Linked DNA regions of Caenorhabditis elegans. The protein of the gene in region 3 purifies or fractionates together with the protein of the main gene of each other region. This does not show direct contact. Each region holds a gene or a part of one and is shown on either strand. Other genes may lie near its edges.

What was found.
Region 1: the proteins of knl-1 (region 3) and him-10 purify together in Caenorhabditis elegans (affinity purification with mass spectrometry; 2 studies listed by BioGRID, with this or other methods). This does not show direct contact.
Region 2: the proteins of knl-1 (region 3) and hcp-4 purify together in Caenorhabditis elegans (affinity purification with western blotting; 2 studies listed by BioGRID, with this or other methods). This does not show direct contact.
Region 4: the proteins of knl-1 (region 3) and kbp-2 purify together in Caenorhabditis elegans (affinity purification with mass spectrometry, with the first as the bait; 2 studies listed by BioGRID). This does not show direct contact.

What each region holds. Positions count from the first base shown.
Region 1 is NC_003281.10:5,801,448-5,805,660, reverse strand, and holds him-10 (Kinetochore protein Nuf2 homolog), read right to left. Parts: upstream 2,402-4,213; 5' UTR 2,397-2,401; coding exon 2,292-2,396; intron 2,241-2,291; coding exon 2,086-2,240; intron 2,040-2,085; coding exon 1,488-2,039; intron 1,432-1,487; coding exon 1,126-1,431; intron 1,069-1,125; coding exon 1,011-1,068; intron 964-1,010; coding exon 667-963; 3' UTR 549-666; downstream 1-548. Other genes in the region: R12B2.3 (Ras-associating domain-containing protein), read right to left, coding at 47-51; polq-1 (DNA polymerase theta), read left to right, coding at 2,619-2,687, 2,738-2,861, 2,914-3,150, 3,201-3,845. UniProt on the Caenorhabditis elegans protein: Acts as a component of the essential kinetochore-associated NDC80 complex, which is required for chromosome segregation in mitosis and meiosis and spindle checkpoint activity.
Region 2 is NC_003279.8:3,862,295-3,867,478, forward strand, and holds hcp-4 (HoloCentric chromosome binding Protein), read right to left. Parts: upstream 3,645-5,184; 5' UTR 3,644-3,644; coding exon 3,599-3,643; intron 3,494-3,598; coding exon 3,287-3,493; intron 3,238-3,286; coding exon 3,031-3,237; intron 2,982-3,030; coding exon 2,859-2,981; intron 2,807-2,858; coding exon 1,821-2,806; intron 1,769-1,820; coding exon 1,209-1,768; intron 1,164-1,208; coding exon 1,014-1,163; intron 964-1,013; coding exon 641-963; 3' UTR 539-640; downstream 1-538. Other genes in the region: guk-1 (guanylate kinase), read right to left, coding at 204-258.
Region 3 is NC_003281.10:8,248,876-8,254,486, reverse strand, and holds knl-1 (Outer kinetochore KNL1 complex subunit knl-1), read right to left. Parts: upstream 3,856-5,611; 5' UTR 3,852-3,855; coding exon 3,706-3,851; intron 3,659-3,705; coding exon 3,569-3,658; intron 3,517-3,568; coding exon 3,111-3,516; intron 3,066-3,110; coding exon 2,340-3,065; intron 2,296-2,339; coding exon 1,752-2,295; intron 1,708-1,751; coding exon 1,367-1,707; intron 1,324-1,366; coding exon 544-1,323; downstream 1-543. Other genes in the region: C02F5.2 (DUF5356 domain-containing protein), read right to left, coding at 4,325-4,458, 4,505-4,595, 4,639-4,745, 4,796-4,850; C02F5.10 (uncharacterized protein), read left to right, coding at 5,015-5,144, 5,351-5,445, 5,493-5,611. UniProt on the Caenorhabditis elegans protein: Acts as a component of the outer kinetochore KNL1 complex that serves as a docking point for spindle assembly checkpoint components and mediates microtubule-kinetochore interactions.
Region 4 is NC_003281.10:4,902,684-4,905,869, forward strand, and holds kbp-2 (Mediator of RNA polymerase II transcription subunit 21), read right to left. Parts: upstream 1,202-3,186; 5' UTR 1,188-1,201; coding exon 1,092-1,187; intron 1,045-1,091; coding exon 829-1,044; intron 781-828; coding exon 601-780; 3' UTR 501-600; downstream 1-500. Other genes in the region: tag-340 (START domain-containing protein), read left to right, coding at 1-122, 172-278; F26F4.8 (C2H2-type domain-containing protein), read right to left, coding at 1,369-1,444, 1,492-1,589, 1,636-1,755, 1,799-2,068, 2,118-2,232, 2,281-2,371, 2,418-2,520, 2,589-2,624.

The DNA.
Region 1 (4,213 bases), 2.4 Mb from region 3:
CTGAAAATTATAAAATCTGAAAAGAACATTATTTGAAAAAGCTTACTGCATAATTTGTAGAGTGAATTTTTCAGAAATACAATACAAAAATTGAGAAATGAACGAAAAATGTCAATGTTGAATGCAATAACTCGAGGCCCGCACGATTTATTTAAATTTATTTAGAATTTTGGTAGGATAATATTCAATTCAGAAGGACAATTCCAACTTGTAGAGCTAATGAGCGAAGAGAAGTTTAAAATTTCTGGAAAAGTTTTCATTTCAAGATAATTTTTTTTTCAAAAAACGTTTCAAAACTTCCGACTCTCACTTATTCCCTGTTTGAGCTTTCTCCAAAATAAGAAACCACGCCCACTTTTTGTCTTACTGTAGTCTTAAAGACGCAAACAAAAAAATACAAGGCAAAAAATTCAAAATTTCTAATTTTATTTTTAATTAAAAACAGAGGCACATAATCTCCCCGTAAATACCACTTGAGTGAATTCTTACCTGAAAAGTAAATTGGTGTGAAATTTCTAGAGCCTGGGAATGAAAAGAAAACATTTGAAAATAAAGACCACATGATTTATTTAGACTCAGTTAAAATTTTGTTATTGGTATGGAAGAAAGCATAACATTTACATTGAATAGAGATCAAATGAAGTGAAATTTTCGAGTTGAGTCATTCTATTTGAAAACGGAAAAACTCGAATCGTTAGGTTGTGGATCACAATTTTCCGTGTTCTCTCCGGCGTCGATTGTCGATGATCCGAATGTGTAATCACTCAGAAGGCGTCCGGTAAGAGAGCTTTTTAGACGTTCCATTTCACGTGCAGCTGCAGTGTTCTTCTCAAAAGCTACTTTCTGGGTTTCTTTGAACATTGCATTAAGTTTTGCGAATTTTGCAACAGCATCTTGGCAAGAGTTGGTGATTTGGGAAATCGTCTCACTGTGTGCGTTTTTTAGAGCGAGGAGTTCTTGCTTCTGAAAAAAATGTTGGTGAGTTTTATGAAGATTGATCTGACAAAAACCTTTTTAGCAATTTCCTGTGACACATCTGGCTGACTAGTTTTCAAATTTGCGATTTGCCTGAAAGATTTACATCGTTTAAAAAAATGTTTTCAAAGTATCAAATAAATTCCTCACTCGGTAATCTCCTCAATTCTACGCTGACGCTCTTCACTTTTCTGCGTGTGTTCTATACGCAATTGTTCATGAGTCTCCGACTGCTCGACGAGTCGCTTTTGTGCCGTTTCCATCTCCTTCATCATAAAATCCAATTGCTCCTCCATTTCCTTGAGCTTTCGAAGATTCTCACTTTCAACATCGATCAGGTCAATGATAACTTCTCGAACTTCAGTCCACTGATGGATCTTCTCAATAATCACTGGCACGTTCTTCTCCGAGTTGATGCAAATTTCACGAGCCTCGAGTTTTGCTTGAAGGCCTTTTCTGAAAATAATTACTTTTATTTTGAATTTTTGGAGAGACTGAAGATATATCAGTACTTTGATGATTCAAGACAATCGCGGAGCTCTTCAATGTGACGTTTCCTTTCCTCCATTTCTTGTTTCAGCTGTTCCGGCGATGTCAGAACTTCTTCATTCAAATGCTCAATTGTCTTTTTACCAGTTAGCATTTCCTTTTCGAGGGCTTGAATGTGCAGAATAGCTTCTTCTTTCTGCTTGTCGAGTTCTTCATTAATTTGACGAGTTTCGGTATATTCGTTCACAACATTTTTAAGTTCTGCCTTCGCATTGCTCTGTTCGTTGATTAATTCATGCTCATGACGTTTTCTTATGCTTTGTTTCGCGAGAAGATCATTTTTCTTCTTCTCGGCTTCTAACAACTCTTCCCGAATCTTTTCCATTTCGAACTTTCGATCACTGAACTCTTCGCTAATTTCATTGAACGCTGGAGTGGCCAATTCGTGAAGTTTCAGAAAATCTACAAGAAAACTTGTCAGCTTTCTGAATCGATGTTCGTGTTTTGCAGGTGTCACGAGATCGCACATCGTCAAGTCCAGCTTGTTGCCAGAATTATCTTTGATAAATGCTTTCCTGAAAAAATATTTCAGCAAATCTAACATTAAAATTAAAATCTTACATGCATTGGAAGAGAATAATGATAGGAATGCTCTTTTTATGCAATTCTGGATCATAATCACAGTTGGCGGACAGCGGAAGGGTCGTCAGCGAGCTTTCCGACACATTTAACACAAGCCTCACAAAATTAGCAAATATTTGTTGCGCTATTTCTGCCTGAAATCGGGTTATTTGTGCTGATGAATTCAATATTCTGTTCAAACTTACGGTTGGCTTGATAATGTCATCGGCGACAAGGCCCATATGCAATTTTTGACCAAGATACTTTGAAATCATCCGCGGATCATACACAATTAGTACAACGTTTGACATTTCTCCTGAAAAATGGAATTTCAGTTCTAAAAACACAAAAATAAAGTTAGAAATTGTTAAAAACAAAAAAGTTTATTTGAATTCGCCGAAGAGCGCGCCAAAACATGTGACATTTCTCGGCCGTGAAAACTAGGCCACCGCGGCCACAAACAAATTTTAGTTTTCTTCGCTGAAAAAAACATGTTTTTCAGTCTGAAATCAGAGTTTTTAGTATGAAACAAGATGGACGAGGCTTCCTGTAGATTTCCAGAATGGGTTTCTTCAAAAATCATCGATTATTACGCAGAGCAGGTAACATAAATCGCTGTGATGAAATAGGGACAAAATTTTTTTAATTTCAGAACATCAAAGCGCTGTTCGATTGGCAGATTGATGTGTTGAATGAGGCAAGACAATTTGAAGATCAACACTTGATATTCAGTGCGCCAACAAGTGCTGGGAAAAGCATTGTAGCTGAACTTTTATGTATTATTTTATCTGGTTTAAAGAATAAATGTTTAAAAACTGTAATTTTCAGCATGGAAAGTCGCTTCAACTGGTAGAAAGGTACTCTTCGTACTTCCTTATATCTCCGTGGCTCGAGAGAAACTTCATCAAATTCAACGGTGTTGGAGACGAGATGACATTTCTGTCTGTGGCTTCATTGGTCCACAGGCCTCAAATCCAAATGAGTGGCTTGGGGCAGTTTGTACCATCGAAAAAGCAGCAAGTTTGACAAATCGAGCATTATCAGAAGATTGGTTTGAGGAAATTGGTTAGATAAATCGATTTTAATTTAAAATTTTCACAAAAAGTAGCTTTCAGGAATGATAGTCGTTGATGAAATGCACATGGTTTTCGATTCGTCTCGTGGTGCACACATTGAGCACATGCTCTCGAAAGTTTTGCTCTGGAACCAATCTGCACTGGAAAAAGTTAGAATTATCGGAATGAGTGCAACTATTCCAGAACTTTATCGAATAGGCAAATGGCTGGACGGTGCGAAAGTTTTCGAAGCAAGATTTCGACCAATTGTTCTACAAAATCATATTGTAATTGGTTCGGAGTTGAGGAAATCTGGAGATAACAAAGTTCTAAGAGAATTCTCTGAAGATCCATTAATATTGCTTACCGAAGAGAGTTTTCGCCGCAATTCTCAGACTTTGGTAATGATTTCTTCGAAACTTGATGCCGAGAAGACTGCTTTGAATATTGCGTCGAGATTCCATGAGATCAATAAAACCGACAGCTCATTGTTGGAAATATTAAAAGAACGAGCCAATGGACTATTATTTATAAAGCATGGATTGGAACGGAATGGTTGCAAGGATCGGAATGTTATGTCAACACTTGCATGGGGAGTAGCATATCATCATGCTGGATTGACGATGGAGGAAAGAGAATGCATTGAACTAGGATTTCGGGAGAAAAATATTGTTATTCTTGTGGCTACAAGTACTTTGGCTTCAGGTGAGTGTTTTAAAATTTTAATTGTGGTCAACCGAAATATCGGAAGAAATTAAAAGCAAAATGTTTGTTGAAATATTTTTGGGGAAAAAATTAAATCAAACAATAATTTTCATTTAGGGTGAAGATTTGTTGATAAAAATTTACTTTAAACTTTCAAAAAATACTATTCACTCAAGAATTTCCAGTTGTTTGCTAATCCCGCTCTTCCCTTTTTTTTAAATCGAAAAGCGAAAATTTTTCGGTTTTTTTTTCGAGATTCCAAAATGTCGATTTTTCGAATAATAGCATACAATTTTGGCCCTTTTTAGCTGAAGAATATTAAATTTTTGTTTTCTTTTTTCTTATTGATGAAATAAGATAAAAGGTTC
Region 2 (5,184 bases), on a different chromosome or scaffold from region 3:
GTAATTTCATTTAAAAATCCGAGGAAAACGAGGAAGAATTCTCAGAAGACTACCATAAACTTTTTTGCGCGCCGAGACCCATCTGAATAAATCCGTGCGCCTTTAAGAAGAATCTTAGAATACATGGAAAAATCTTGTAAAGTGACAACATTTCAAAACGAAAAGCTGATTTTTTTCTGGAAAAGCGCGCAAAAAAGACTTACTAAACGATTGACAGGACGGCCGCCAAAACCAGGCGACACGGGAGGTGGCGTGCATGAATACCTCAACGGGCCGTCGCTTATTTATACCCCTCGCCTCTTCGTAAATATCCAAATCTTATATATCCGGTATATATCACGCTTATGACGACGACTTAGTGATAAATATGTGTATGTGTGTGTGTGGCTCAGCCGGATATACAACCCATTAGAGCAAATTGAAAATCGCTAATCTGAATTTTTGCTAGGCATATGGAGGATGTCGCGCAAATTAAAGAAAAATAAATAAAATTTATTGGAACAATTCACCAGATATAAACTAAACATAAAAAAGGATTGACAGATTCAAACTTTATTCCCTTTAAAATTGCATTATTTACAGGTATTGGGATTAGATGGGTTTTTTGACATTGCTAAATAGTGGAGCAATAGTTATTTCTTCACATATCATCTTCTTCATCGTCGTCACTATCGTGACGTCGCCCACTTCTTGCATTCTGTCTTTGTTGCTTCTTTTCCTGCGCCAAAGCCCTTTTGTTGGCCTTATCTTTCAGCTCTCGCTCGGTTGCTGTTCTGACGTCAGCAGTTCTGTAATAGCACAAACGCGGATCCTTGATGACAACGGCCGTCACACCAGTCAATCGCTTGCAGCCACTAATCGGCGAATTGACATAAACCGGTTGTTCTCCAAGCCACGAACGAACAGGCTTCACGCGGACACGCGTCGATCTTCGGACACCGTCTGGAGCATCTTCTGGCTTCACTGAAAATGTTTAAAGTTTCGAATGATTGCATTAATTAATTAAAACTCACTGAGTTGATGCTCTTTCAGTTTCATACCCCTGTGTGTTCTCGGACGTCTGTTTCCTTTAGAATTCGGTTCAGGATACCATGTTTCGTCAACGAATGTGTCGTTTGGGCGTCTTCTCGACGAACTAGCAAGACCAAGAGCAATCGAATCACCTGAAATTGTTTTAAAAACGTTGTTATTTGTGAAGTAACACTCACTAAGAAGCCCGAGTCTTCTAGACGACTTTTTCCTTGGATCTGGACGTGCTTCCATTTCTTCTTCGTCAGAAGAAGATCTCATTTCATTTGTATCGTCCTCTGGAAAATCAATGGCACTGATATCATGTGCAGGCTCTTCGTTGACAGTCAGCGCATTCAATTCGATGTTCAGGGAGCGATTGCTTGAATCTGCTGCCTCATCCTCACCATCGACAATCACACCACCATTTTCAGATCTTTTTTCAATGACCTCCGTCGCCTGATCCTCCTCATCATCCTCCAAAACCATGCGAACAGCGGCTGAAGAAGTTGTAGCAGTAGTCTTCGCAGGCGTATTCTTTCGTGAAGTTTCCTCAAGCAAACGATTAGCATCTTTCATATTCATCCTTTTGACGAGTGAAGCGAAAGTAGGCTGTTCATATCGTCGTGCCGGGGTCACTCGATTCACAGAATCAACGATATCCATCCTAGTCGGTGTTGAGAGCAGTGCAGCCCGAGCACATTCGACATTGTTGGTGGGTCCAATATTACGGATAGAATTATCCGTGTGCCGAATCGATCTGGAAAATGGAGAAATAAGAATAATATTCCGCAATTCGAAAAAAAACATACTTTGGAGTTGCGGCTTTCGATACATGCATTGGCTCCACTTTTTCTGGAACTTCTGGAACCGGCGAAACTCGAGATGCATTGAATGTTGGAGAGATATAAGACGAGCCAATAGAATCCGCTTCCATTGTTCGTTCTTCAGCTACCGATTCCATCTCAATCGTTCGCTCCTTATTCGATTCAGTACTAAGTCTGCTGGTTGCCTTGATTCGTGGCGGCGTTTGAACCACCGGTCTGATCTTTTTTCGGGGATGTTTGAAGAAGTTGGCTCCCGGCGATTGAATTTCTTCCTTTTCGAGCATACTGTTGTGAAGAGGATTAGAAATACTGGCATTACGTCGTTCTCGCTCATCCGAAGTGACTTTCGACGTTCTCCGTTTTTCTCCTCCTTCCATCGTGTTTTGTGCCAGTACTGGAGGCTTCACACCAACACTCGTGGTTCCTTGCTCGTATGCATCTCTTTCTTCAATAATAAACGTCTTTTGAAGAGTTGAATCGTTATTTTCATCTCTGTTAGCTACGTTGAAAGTTCTTTGAAGTGATGACTCATCTTTCTCGGTCGGCTTTGTGAACGTTTTCTGTAGAGAGGAGTGTTCTGCATCTTTAGCCACTGTGACCGTTCCCTGCATTTCCGAGCTCTGATTCTTCTCGATCGTCACCGTTTTCTGAAGTTCTTCAGGAGCATCTTTAGCCACCGTGAAGTTTCCTTGCAGCTGAGAGCTTTGATTCTTCTCGATCGTTACCGTTCTTTGAAGCTGTGATTGCTCTTTTGATGCATCTTTAGCCACCGTAAACGTTCTTTGCATTTCCGAGCTCTGATTCTTCTCGATTGTCACCGTTTTCTGAAGTTCTTCAGGAGCATCTTCAGCCACAGTGAAGGTTTTTTGCAGCTGAGAGCTGTGATTCTTCTCAATCGTGAGAGTTTTCTGGAGTGTTGACTCTCTCTCCTCGAGAATGGTTGGGATAACGACAGACTTGGTGTGAACAGTCTGAAACGATATAAAAGTTAGTTTAAATATCTTTAAAACAAACAAATTTTACCACTCTTTCAGCATCTAGTCGATCGGTATTGACGACATGTGAAATATCAAGCGATCTCAAGGACCTCATCGACGTATCACTCGAGCTCTTGGGAGTTGAACAACTTAATCCAGCTTTTCCACTCTGAAATTATAGATTTATTAAACTATGAACACGCAAATTCATCTCATACCCCTCTGGAATTAGCAATTGGCGAGCCCATCATCGACTTTTCACTGATGTGTTTCGGAAGCGCCGGAATGGCAAAAACCGAAGCGCTTCGGACATTTTGATTCACAGTGTTCTCGCTGTCGCTCTCACATTCGGAGTATTCACGACAAGCAATCAACTCTTTGAAGGTTTTCGCTCCGTACATTTCCTTTTCGAGACGTTTTCTGGCCTGAATATAGTTTATTAGGTGTTGAAAAGATTTTGTGACTGAAATTTACATTGTTAAGCTGTGTTTGTTTCCTTTTCTCCAAAATAGCGAACATCTGCTTCTCAGATAGTCCCTGTTTTCTCCATTCTCGCTCCTCCAAATTTGCACTATCATTCATCATCGATTCATCGACGATAACTGTTGGTTCCTCCAAGTACGACGGTCTTGTATCGTCCAAGCCAGCCTCACGAAGAGCAACGATTTCAGTGATCATTTTCTGAAATAAACAAAATAAGTAAGCAATCAAATTACCATAATGTGGAACTTTTTTTTTGTAAAAATCAAACATTTGTTAAGAATTTTAAAAATCTGAATCACTTACTCGACCAGGAACAATCGTACTGCGGGTTCGCGGTTTTCGATTCATTCTGCAATTTGATATCGTTTTGAAAAAAAGACAATTTTAAGAGGTGAATAAATATAAGCAAACTTCTCGATGTCAAATGGGAGCTAAATTTGAAAGTGGCGGTTTTGCATTGTACAACGGAGCGCGTTTGGTTAGAGGGGGAAGGCTACGAGAAGAGGATAGAGGAAACGTATTTATTGTTTTCTTTTCGCATTCAAAAGGCAAGAAGGTATTATGAGCCAAATATTGATTGATTTTAAGGGAGAAAGACACAGACTTTGTATAAAATAATAGCCGAACCAAGTCAAACGCAGTTTTGAAGAGAGGCCAATCGATACGCTTTGGTGAAATAAAGAAAAATGAATAATACTTCATCGAGATCTATTTATGCTTGTTTTCACGAATTTCAACAAGGCCTCCACGTCCCTAACAGTAGAAAATACTAAACGCAGAATTTATTAGTAGTTTTCTAAATAAAATTCGTGCAATATTAGTTGAGCGGTAGCTCTTTAAAGTACATATTGATTTCAACCAAGTTCTTCGAAAGTTATTTCAAGCGCGTTTTCATTTTTTTTTCTAATGATCCGCAAGAAAATAAAATTTTAAAACGAAAAGAGAAAAATAGAATAAAATCAAAGCCTAAAAATCAGACTCTAAAAATGATTTTTCCCGCCTGTCGGTATCAAGTGTACGGTATTCGTGGTGAGACCCGCGCCCCCGCGCAAAAAATTTTGAACTTTTGCGGAGATGTTTGCACAGACAGCATTTAACTTAACGCAATTTTGCATGCTTTCTATACTTTCGAACATTTATTGAGACCCGAAGAACTCGGGGGATGTCCAATTGGGGGGATTACCAACTCGGGGGATTGGCCTCACCCACAGAACCGTGGTTTGCAATACGCCCATTTCTGCAAATGCCGCACGGTTTTAAAACTGTATTTTTCTCAATAGAGCGAGAATTAACAAGAAAAAATAATTTTAAAACCGTGCGGCAGTTGCAGAAATGGGCGTATTGCAAGCCACGGTTCTGTGGGCGGGACCAATCCCCTGGTAATCCCCCCAATTGGACATCCCCCGAGTTCTTCGGGTCTCCATTTATTTTTTGTTTTTGCCTTTTTGTCTTACAATTTTGAAGGTTTCCCTTCATCGATTTCATCCAAAATTGAGAAAAAATGTTTACAAAATGTATTATTTTCATTTCTTCCAATTTTCTAATTCAGATTTTCCCTAAAACATTTGTGATTCTTGATTTTTTACTTTTATCTATATGAGTGACGTTGTTTTGACAGCATATTTGATCAAATTTCTAGAAATGGTTTGTTTTATCACTACTGTTCATGCCTTCTTAATTTCAAATGATCTTCAAACATTTATATTTGTGTTTTCGGTTATTCTTCATGTGTTTTTTATTTGATTCGTTTCAACCCATCCAAATGCGCGGTCTCTCGCTCGATCTCTCGTCTCTCTGCGTTTCCAGTGTAAAAGAGAAAGGCGAGCAACAACTTCTATCATTTCTCACGTCGCTCGTCAAAATAGTTGTCTTGTTTGTTTCTCAATTTT
Region 3 (5,611 bases):
ATACTTACTGCTCACCTACGTACCTATGTACCTCCCGAGGTGTCAAACTCTTGCCTACCCGCCTTATTATGTATATTCTATTTGGAACTACAGTAGTAAATAGTAAGCTAAAATTATTTTTAAGAGAGGAGACTGAAGCTCCGATTTTTTAAACTCCGATTTTTAAACGCACAATAACTTCATTTTACAAAAAAAAACACGGCTACAAAAAAATTTGGTTACAAGGAATATTTATTCATTTGACTATTCAAACCATAAGTCTCCTTTAGATTGATTGAGAATGAACTAGGAATAAAAACATAACTTTGTGATTGCTCTGAGGCATAAATGTATAGGGGAAAAGGTAAACATCTTGAAGGAAATACAGCAAGTGCGGTTGATGCACAATGGGTATTTTTAGATGAAAAAAAAACTAAAATATATGGCACATTAGGTAAAGAATTATATGAGCATCAGAAGTATTGTAGGCCTGATGCAAGGGAAGGGTGAAGGCGGCATCTAAAATTATAATTTTTGACTGTTAATTTTTCGATATTAAACTCACTAGAAGTTCACAATTTTCTTAACAGCCTTAGAGAACACCAGCATTCGACTTTTCTTCAAATCGTTCCTCTGGGCAAACTTCTCGTGTTCTTCCGCGACTTTCATTTCGAGAGCATTTTTCTCTGAACGAAGTGCAATCATGTTTGAGCGTACATTTCGGAGTGCTTTCATTTTCTGGTCGAATTCCCATTGCTTCATCTCCATCCACTCCTTTCGGATTTTCCCGCTCTCTTCGCGTGATGGAGGAAGACTTCTCAGCTTTTCTAGTTCTTTTTGAACGACAGCCATCTTATCGAGACCTCTTAGCTGCTCAGCCATTTTCGAATTTCCTTGTTCTAGTTCAGCAATTTCCTGGTCACTTTCAATTTTTTTCTCGAGTGCAAATTTCAGACGAAGCTCCAAAAACTTGATTTCCGCGTCTTTTCTTGCAATCATAATCGCTTCTCGCTCATCATGACTAAACTTCAAGAGCTCCTTAGTCTTCAACATATCAATTTTCTCAGCAGAAAGTTGATTGGTTGAATTCAGAGAATCAATCTCGTGTTGTACTTTCATTTTCTCGTTTTCAACAATACGCTGAAATTTGAGAGCTTCTGGATGTTGTTCAGTGGACGGATCTTCAGATGTTAAATATACAACGTTGACCACAGCTGGATCGAAGTCTGGCATTTCGAATTGAGGAGATGGAGGTGGAAGTTGTACATTTTGTGACATCAATGATGGTGTTCCTGGGGCAGCAGTTTTTGAAGAATTCAGATGAGGAGAGCGGACTGATGTATTCTGAAAGACATTTTCGATTCAATACTCAAAGAGATATTCTTACCATCGCGAGAATATCTCTTCCCGAATCGTTCAAACTCATACTCGGCATCGAATCTTGACTCGTCTGCATAGTTTTATTCTGTCGATATTCTGTCAGAGCTTCCATTGTTTGCCCATTCATCGACATTATAGAATTCTCCAACGCAACACGACGAGGAGATTCACGAGCAGAATTCAGAAGAGATCGACGTCGTTTAGAGATAGACTGGTTGATGCTCAAATTGAAAGCCGAATATGTTGAAATCTTGGACGTGTTCACTGCTTCCGAGTCGACATTGTTCATGATTTGCGATGTTTCATTATGGCCTTGGAATGTGAAATTCGCGCCAGTATTCGAGGTATCTAAAACATACTTTTAATAGAGTTATTGAATAAACGAAATTTACCATTTTTCTGCAAAGTCTCATCTCCGAATTGCTCCTGCTCTTTGTTACTGTTCAGTTCAACAGCAATAGACTCATGGACCATGCTAATGTCTTCACACGTTGTAATTTGCATAGTTTTAAGAAGAGTATTGTTGTCCAATTCCATCGAATTGTTGAGAGTTGCACTCGAGTTGTGAAGGGCTGATGGTTCTTTAGTGGCAAGAGAAGCTGACTGTGAAGCAAGGATGACTGGCGTCTTCGACGAACCATCGTCTTCCAACTTTTGTGCTACATCAATCATGGAGGAGTGCATAAAAGCCCTTTCTTCTTCGATGAGCATAAACGACTTTTTGTCGATTTCCGAATGAACAGAAGATTCGTTTATCATGGATACGTTTTCTGAAGCATTTTCCTCTTGCCGCTCGAGAGACGTGTAGACATCATTAGTTGTAGTCACTTCTACATTCGACTTTGGCAACGTCAAGGTTCCATCATTTTGTGTCTCGTCAATGCTCATTTCGTCACCGAACACGATAGATTTCTGCGAATCAATGATCGAGTTGTTCTGAAAGAAATACATTTTTATTGGAAAGTGTGCTTAAAACTTACCGCTCCGATCTTTACTCTGGCAGGACTCTGGAACACAGCCATGGTGTCGTTTACTGCAGGTGAATCTCGAATCACCGAAATGTCCATTAAATCCTCCTTTTGAAGTTGCAAGCCGTCGTTCTGCTGATTACCAGCCTCACATGGTTGTTGTTCAGTGATATCCATATCCATGTCTAAATCTTCCACCTCATCTGCGATACTCGGGTATTTCGTTGATTTGTCAGCGGCTTCAATCGTTTTCTCGAGATCCATGCTGCTCTTACTGACGTGTTTCGGGCTGTTGAACATCGCCATAGTGTCATTTACTAGAACTTTCGGAATAGAAATGTCCATAAGCTGACTTGTCTCGAATTGATCATTTTTCTTCTCCGCGTTTAATACGGCCTGATCAGTGATGTCCATGTCCACAGGTACGACGTTCGAGGCGATATTTATTAGATTCTGAGGAACACCCAAACCCTTATTACAGATGTCTCTCGGACTGTTGAAAATGGCCAAAGTATCATTAACTTGAACTTGTGGCGCCGAAATGTCCATCAGTTGACTTGGCCCGAATGTATCATTTTTCTTTTCTTCAATTAAAGTGTGATGTTCAGTGATGTCCATGTCTACAGGCATGACGTTTGAATTAATCGGAATCCGGATAGCATTCATGGTATTATTTTCATCTAATTTACTCGTATCCATTTCAGCGGCTTCCAAGTTTGTGAAATTGAACACATTCATCTGTAAAATTAAGATAATTTGGTTCCTTCTATTAATTCAACATACCGTTTCATCGCACTGGCCGCCCGCTGCTTTTGATTCATCGAGGTCCATCGGTATAGTTCTATTCATTGTAGCGTTATGCTTCGGAACTTTGGGAATCGTGAAAAGAACTGAACGATCAACTGACATATCCTTATCTTCTTGATTCGTTGTATTGAACATTGCTAAGGTATCATCCAGTGGCATACTAACAATTCGCTCGGTAACTTTTGTTGTGGTTTCGACGATCTTTTCGTATAATAGTGTTGGATCTCTTGTGGTTTCAAACAATCTCGCCGTTTCGTTGTTCTCGTTGATAGTTGTTTCGAGAGACATATCCATAGTTTTATCGAGATTACCACCGCCGAACACTTGAAATGAGGACGTGCAGGCCGGAGATTCGGAAATATCCATGTTTCCGCCACGTGGTCTTAAAAAGATTTTTACGTATTCATTATTTCACGTTAAAGGATGGAACTCACGTCAAAATACCATCTGATCCAATAGTGTCAGTAATCTTCTCCTTAACTGGTGTGGCGTCAAGAATTTTACCATGGTCCCTGTCATACTGCCTGAAATAATTATTTTATTGATAAATTATTCACTGACTCTAACTGACTTGACATGCTTCACGTTATGAAAGCTGACTCGTCGATTAGTTGTTGTGGAACTAGGCCCACTGTTCATGACGGTTTCCTCGATGGTTTCGACGGCTTGCCGCACCTTGAGAATCGAGTTCCGCTTCTTACGAGGCTCCATCGACATGGCTGTAAATATGTTTTAAAAATGGTAATAAATTATGATTAAAAAAATAACAAAACAACGGCAGCATAAACTTCGTTAAATGGGAAAAGTAAAAAAGTGAAAAGTAAACGAAGGCAGTTTTGCTTGGCGGCAAATCTCTGTTTGAAATTGAACTTGTACAATGGAGCGAAGCTGCACTCGACACACCACCGGTTCCGTAGAACGCACACTACGAGTAATTCCTTAACTTGGGGCAGTATAATACAATTTTAATAGTTTAAAAAACCAATTGTTTCAAAAATTAGATAAAATTCAATATTAATAAATAAATATATGTACCATTACAGCTGATACACATTGCAAAAATATTTTCTACGAAATTCGAATTCTCAAAATCCGTAGTTTCTCTTGTGAGTACTGTATTTAGATATTTTTTCAGGCAGATTTCAATTAATTTTTTTTTAACCGTTAAGCTTTATTCAACACATAGAGAATCAGGCGGTATCTCTCCAGTCAGGGAATTCTAATTTTATTTGCACTTCTGTTCCATCTGGTGTAGTTTTATCCAAGAGCAATTGACATGATTTCTGAATCAATCGAGCCAAATTGTGGTGTTCTACGACAGGCTCTAAACCAATACAAATTAAGTTCCCAGAATTTTGTGATTTCTCAACTTAAAGGCAATGGAGTTTGTGGTGGAGATTCTTCAGTGACAATTATAGTTTCCATGTTCTTCTCAGTTGCTGAGAACACATTAACTCGATTCTGGAAAAGTTTTAATGAAAATCTACGTAAAAATAAAAATTACCGGCTTCTTTTTCACATTGAGAAGTTCTGCAGAATACGGATCATCTGATGCGTTCCATTCCGATTCTGTATAATTTTGAAGCGCTTCTCCAGTTGAGCTTGGTGGAACTAAAACTTTTTATTAAAAAAAAAACCGAAAAGTTATATATATTACTCACGGCTTATAGAAGTATCAGATTTACTAGGATTTTCTTCCTTCTTTTTGTTGTCCATCTTGTATTTGAAAATGATTTGTAAAATACATTTCCATAAGTGAAAACTCAAAATTACGTGTATTGCATTTTTTTTTCGAAATCTTTTAATTAAGAAAAAACATCTTTTGAAAAGGAAATAATTTTATTCTTCAAAACGATAAAATCAAAATCAAGAGGCAAAAAATGGCAGAGCAGCAACCAAGCAAAGAAGAAAAGAAAGAAGATAAAAAAGACGAAAAAGAAGAGGAACTACCAGCACCAAGTGTTCAGCAATCTATTCGACAGTTGCCGAAGATTCAAATTACTGATGATGGTAAGGATGAAATTTCAATATTACACAGATGCGAAATTTTGTTAGTTTACGCTGAGAAGTACGGTGCCCGGTCTCGACACGACCGAAATATTTTTAGGCAGCGTTTTTAGTTAGAAAACAGGCGTATGGCTTTAAGGACTACAGTAACCCAACTCCAAGCTATTTTACAGTTTTCGCATCTGGACAATACAAAGTTTAATTTCCAGATAAGGGCGAACAGCTGCCAGAATGCACTGAAGGAGAGTGGGATGCCAGTGATGAACCGTTCTCAGCTGAACTTCTGAACGTCAAAAATGCTCCAGTAAATATTCAAATTTGTAGTAAATCCTTCTAATCATCCAATTTCAGAACAAGGTATCCGTGTTCAGTGGTCCTTATCGTTCCAAAGAAACCATTGAAAAAATCAAAAAGTTCAGAGCAGCAATGCCTCCTGTCATTCCAATCATTGACGAACGGCCAGATAAGCT
Region 4 (3,186 bases), 3.3 Mb from region 3:
ATGCCCAAACAATGGAAATCCGAAAATCGTACGAGGACACAATTTCCCATCCATGATTCGAACATTGAAAGATGAAGCAGGAGTAACTTATTTCGAATGGCTCATGAAGACTGATCTCAAAGGTATGAAAACTAAAACTTTATCAATTTTTCTATTCATTATATTTTTCAGGTGGCCTTCCACGCCGTCTTGTTCACTCGGGAATGGTCAATTACTTCAGTGAGCACGTGAAACGGATGAATGAGTTCGCAGAAACCCATTATCATTGTCCTCCTTGAGATTCAACACAAAATTATATTTTATACCTTGAATGTGATTTACTTTTTTTTTTCTGTAAGTATCTGTCCCCTATTTCCCATCGCTAGATATTCCTGCTAACCTTTATCATGACTAATCACTTTTTAAAGTTTCATACCTCCTTGCCCTTTCTGAATTTTCCCCTCACAATTCCAAACCAATATGAATATTAATTATTCCGAAAGATGTTTTTTTTGAAGAGAAAGTTTTATTTTAGAGACAAACAAAAGTTCAGAAAAATTTGGTAAATAGGAAAAGAAAGATTCAGTTAAATTAAGTGAAGGTTATATTAATATCAAAATTCTACAGCTTTTGCTGTTGTGACTCGACAATTGTTGCAAGCTCCTTGAGCACCTGCTTACGACGAGCTATTTCATCTTCTTCAGCTTTCAGTTCTTTTTCAATCTTTTCGATTTCAGCATCTGCTTCAGTGAGCATTTTCTCGGCAGTTTCGGAGAGGTGCAATGCGACATCTCGTTTTGCCTAAAACGATGAAAATGTGTATATTAATATTAAAATCAATATACAAACATTGACTGGATTATATCCCATTTCTCTTCCGAGTTGCTTATTTAATTCTTCAGATTCTCTCGTCAATTGTTCCATATCATCGAAAAGTTCGTAAACACTATTTTCTTTAATCATTTGATCAGTCTTCTCCAAAACTTTTTGTTGTGTTGATTTCGCCATTCGAGCCATCACAGCATCCACTGCAGCTTTATCCATGTTGAGTTTTCTATGAGAACTCTGAAAATTTTAGTTCTGGATAAAACGTGCAAAAATATCAAGCTTACCATTTTCCACAAATCCTGGGACTCTAACAATGATTTTGTGAATATTTCCAGAGTTGTGTCCAGCATTTGATTCAAGACTTCTTTTCTTTGCGACATGATATTGATTTTATCTAAAACGCGGAAAACTTACAAATACACTTAACAAGAAACTATGAAACGAAATTAAACAAGAAGTATTTTAAAAGTTATGGAACTTCACGCAGGAATAAATTTGAGCAGAAATACAAGTATTATGCATATTTATTTGTTAAATAAAATAAAGGAACATGAAATAGAACTATTCATCGCTTTCGTTTTCTCCTCCAAAACCAATTGTATGTGCGAAGTAGTTTAGATGAAGAGCGAACGCTTGTCTGTAATTATTACTGATCTTCAGAGCAAAATCTTCGAAATAGCCTACCGATTCTCAAACTTTCGGCCGCATCCAGAACATTTGAACGGATCGTCAATTTCGTGATATCCAATGTGCGTCATCCAGAGGATTGCGTCGGTGAAACTCTGTGAAAAATTACGTTTTTAAGATTTTCCAGAGCAAAAACCATACCATCAAGCAATGAGTGCATTGGTATTTCTCGTTATCATTCAATGGGAATAATTCTGCAATCACATCCGATAGTTTCGCGATCATCTCCGAATTGGAAGCTGATGATACAGACATAGCCATCTGAAAATTCAAGTTTCAACCTCTATCATGCTATAAATCCAACCTGCAATTGCTTTAAAATCCCATCATCTTCGTCTGCTTCATAGATTTCTTCCTTGACTTCGATTTCTAAAGCATCTTGAACATCGAATTGCTTTGATTCTTCCTTTGCTCCAACTGAAGTTTTTCTTTCCTTCCGGCTTTGATTCTTTTTCATTCGAAGGAAATCTTTCTGCTTGATAATCATTTCCTCCGCATATTCTTTAAGTTCTCCATGCTTGAATGTGTGATGGAATAGCATTTTACGGAAGGATACTGAAACTTCGGAGCAATCCTGAAATGTTTTGATTAGTTCTGTTTCAATCTATCGATATTTTACTTACCTTGCACTTTATCGATACTGTACCATTCACATGATGAGCTGTATTCGCATGATTCTCGCCCTCTAACATGGTCTCAACGAGTTGATCACATCCTTCGGCACGACAAGGTAGAGTTCTGAACGAAACAGTTTTTCAAAAATTTCAAAATATTTCTTGCAATTACCCTTTGCTGATGTGGTCGAGTGCGTGGAAAAACAGAGTATCCGTTCGATTGAACATTTTGTCGCAGAAATAGCACTCCAACAATTTGTCATCTAAAAATAAATATTGGTTTCATAAATCTAATCGCCTGAAACTAACTGTGCACTTTGATATGACAACGAAGGGATCTTTCAGACGTGAAAAATCGATCACATTGTTTACATTTAACTTTTACATCGGGGGAAGTTGTATTGGCATTCACCTGAAACGTTTTGATTATGATACTTAAAAGTAAAAATATAAAAGCTTTGAATAAATATTAATAATTACCTCGAGAATCGCGGATTCTTCCGGAAGGCCTTCCATTTAACACTGAATAATGATTCACCGTCACCGTCCATATCATCAATCTTACACGTCTCCATGATTATGAGTTGTCAAAAGGTCACGGGAATATTTGACAAGAAAAACGTTTGCGTGTCCTCATTCTTTCTTTTTCAAAACGCGTCGACTGCCGCCAAAAACGGCATTTGGCCTAGCTTTCCGAGAGACTCGGCCACGAATTGGGTACCTATCAAAAACTGATCGATTTGCATAATATTGGATCATAAATTGTAATTAGTTTCAATAAATACAATGCACAATGATATGTTTATTTGTTTTAATACAATTTCTTTTTGAAAATTGGTTTGTTATTCCGTTCAGAATCGAGTAAAGTGCGTGGCCTAGAAATTCCCGTTTTCTTTTGCCAAAATAATTGGCAGAGGTCTGCAGAGGTGCACTCAAAACCTGAACAAAGAGCAAGGAAAAGAGCAGCTGTCATTGACATACACCCGTTCATTCACAATATTTCATAACACAATATACACTCATATATATTTTATACACCTTTAATGCACATAGAATTACAAAGTTAGATATGAATCTC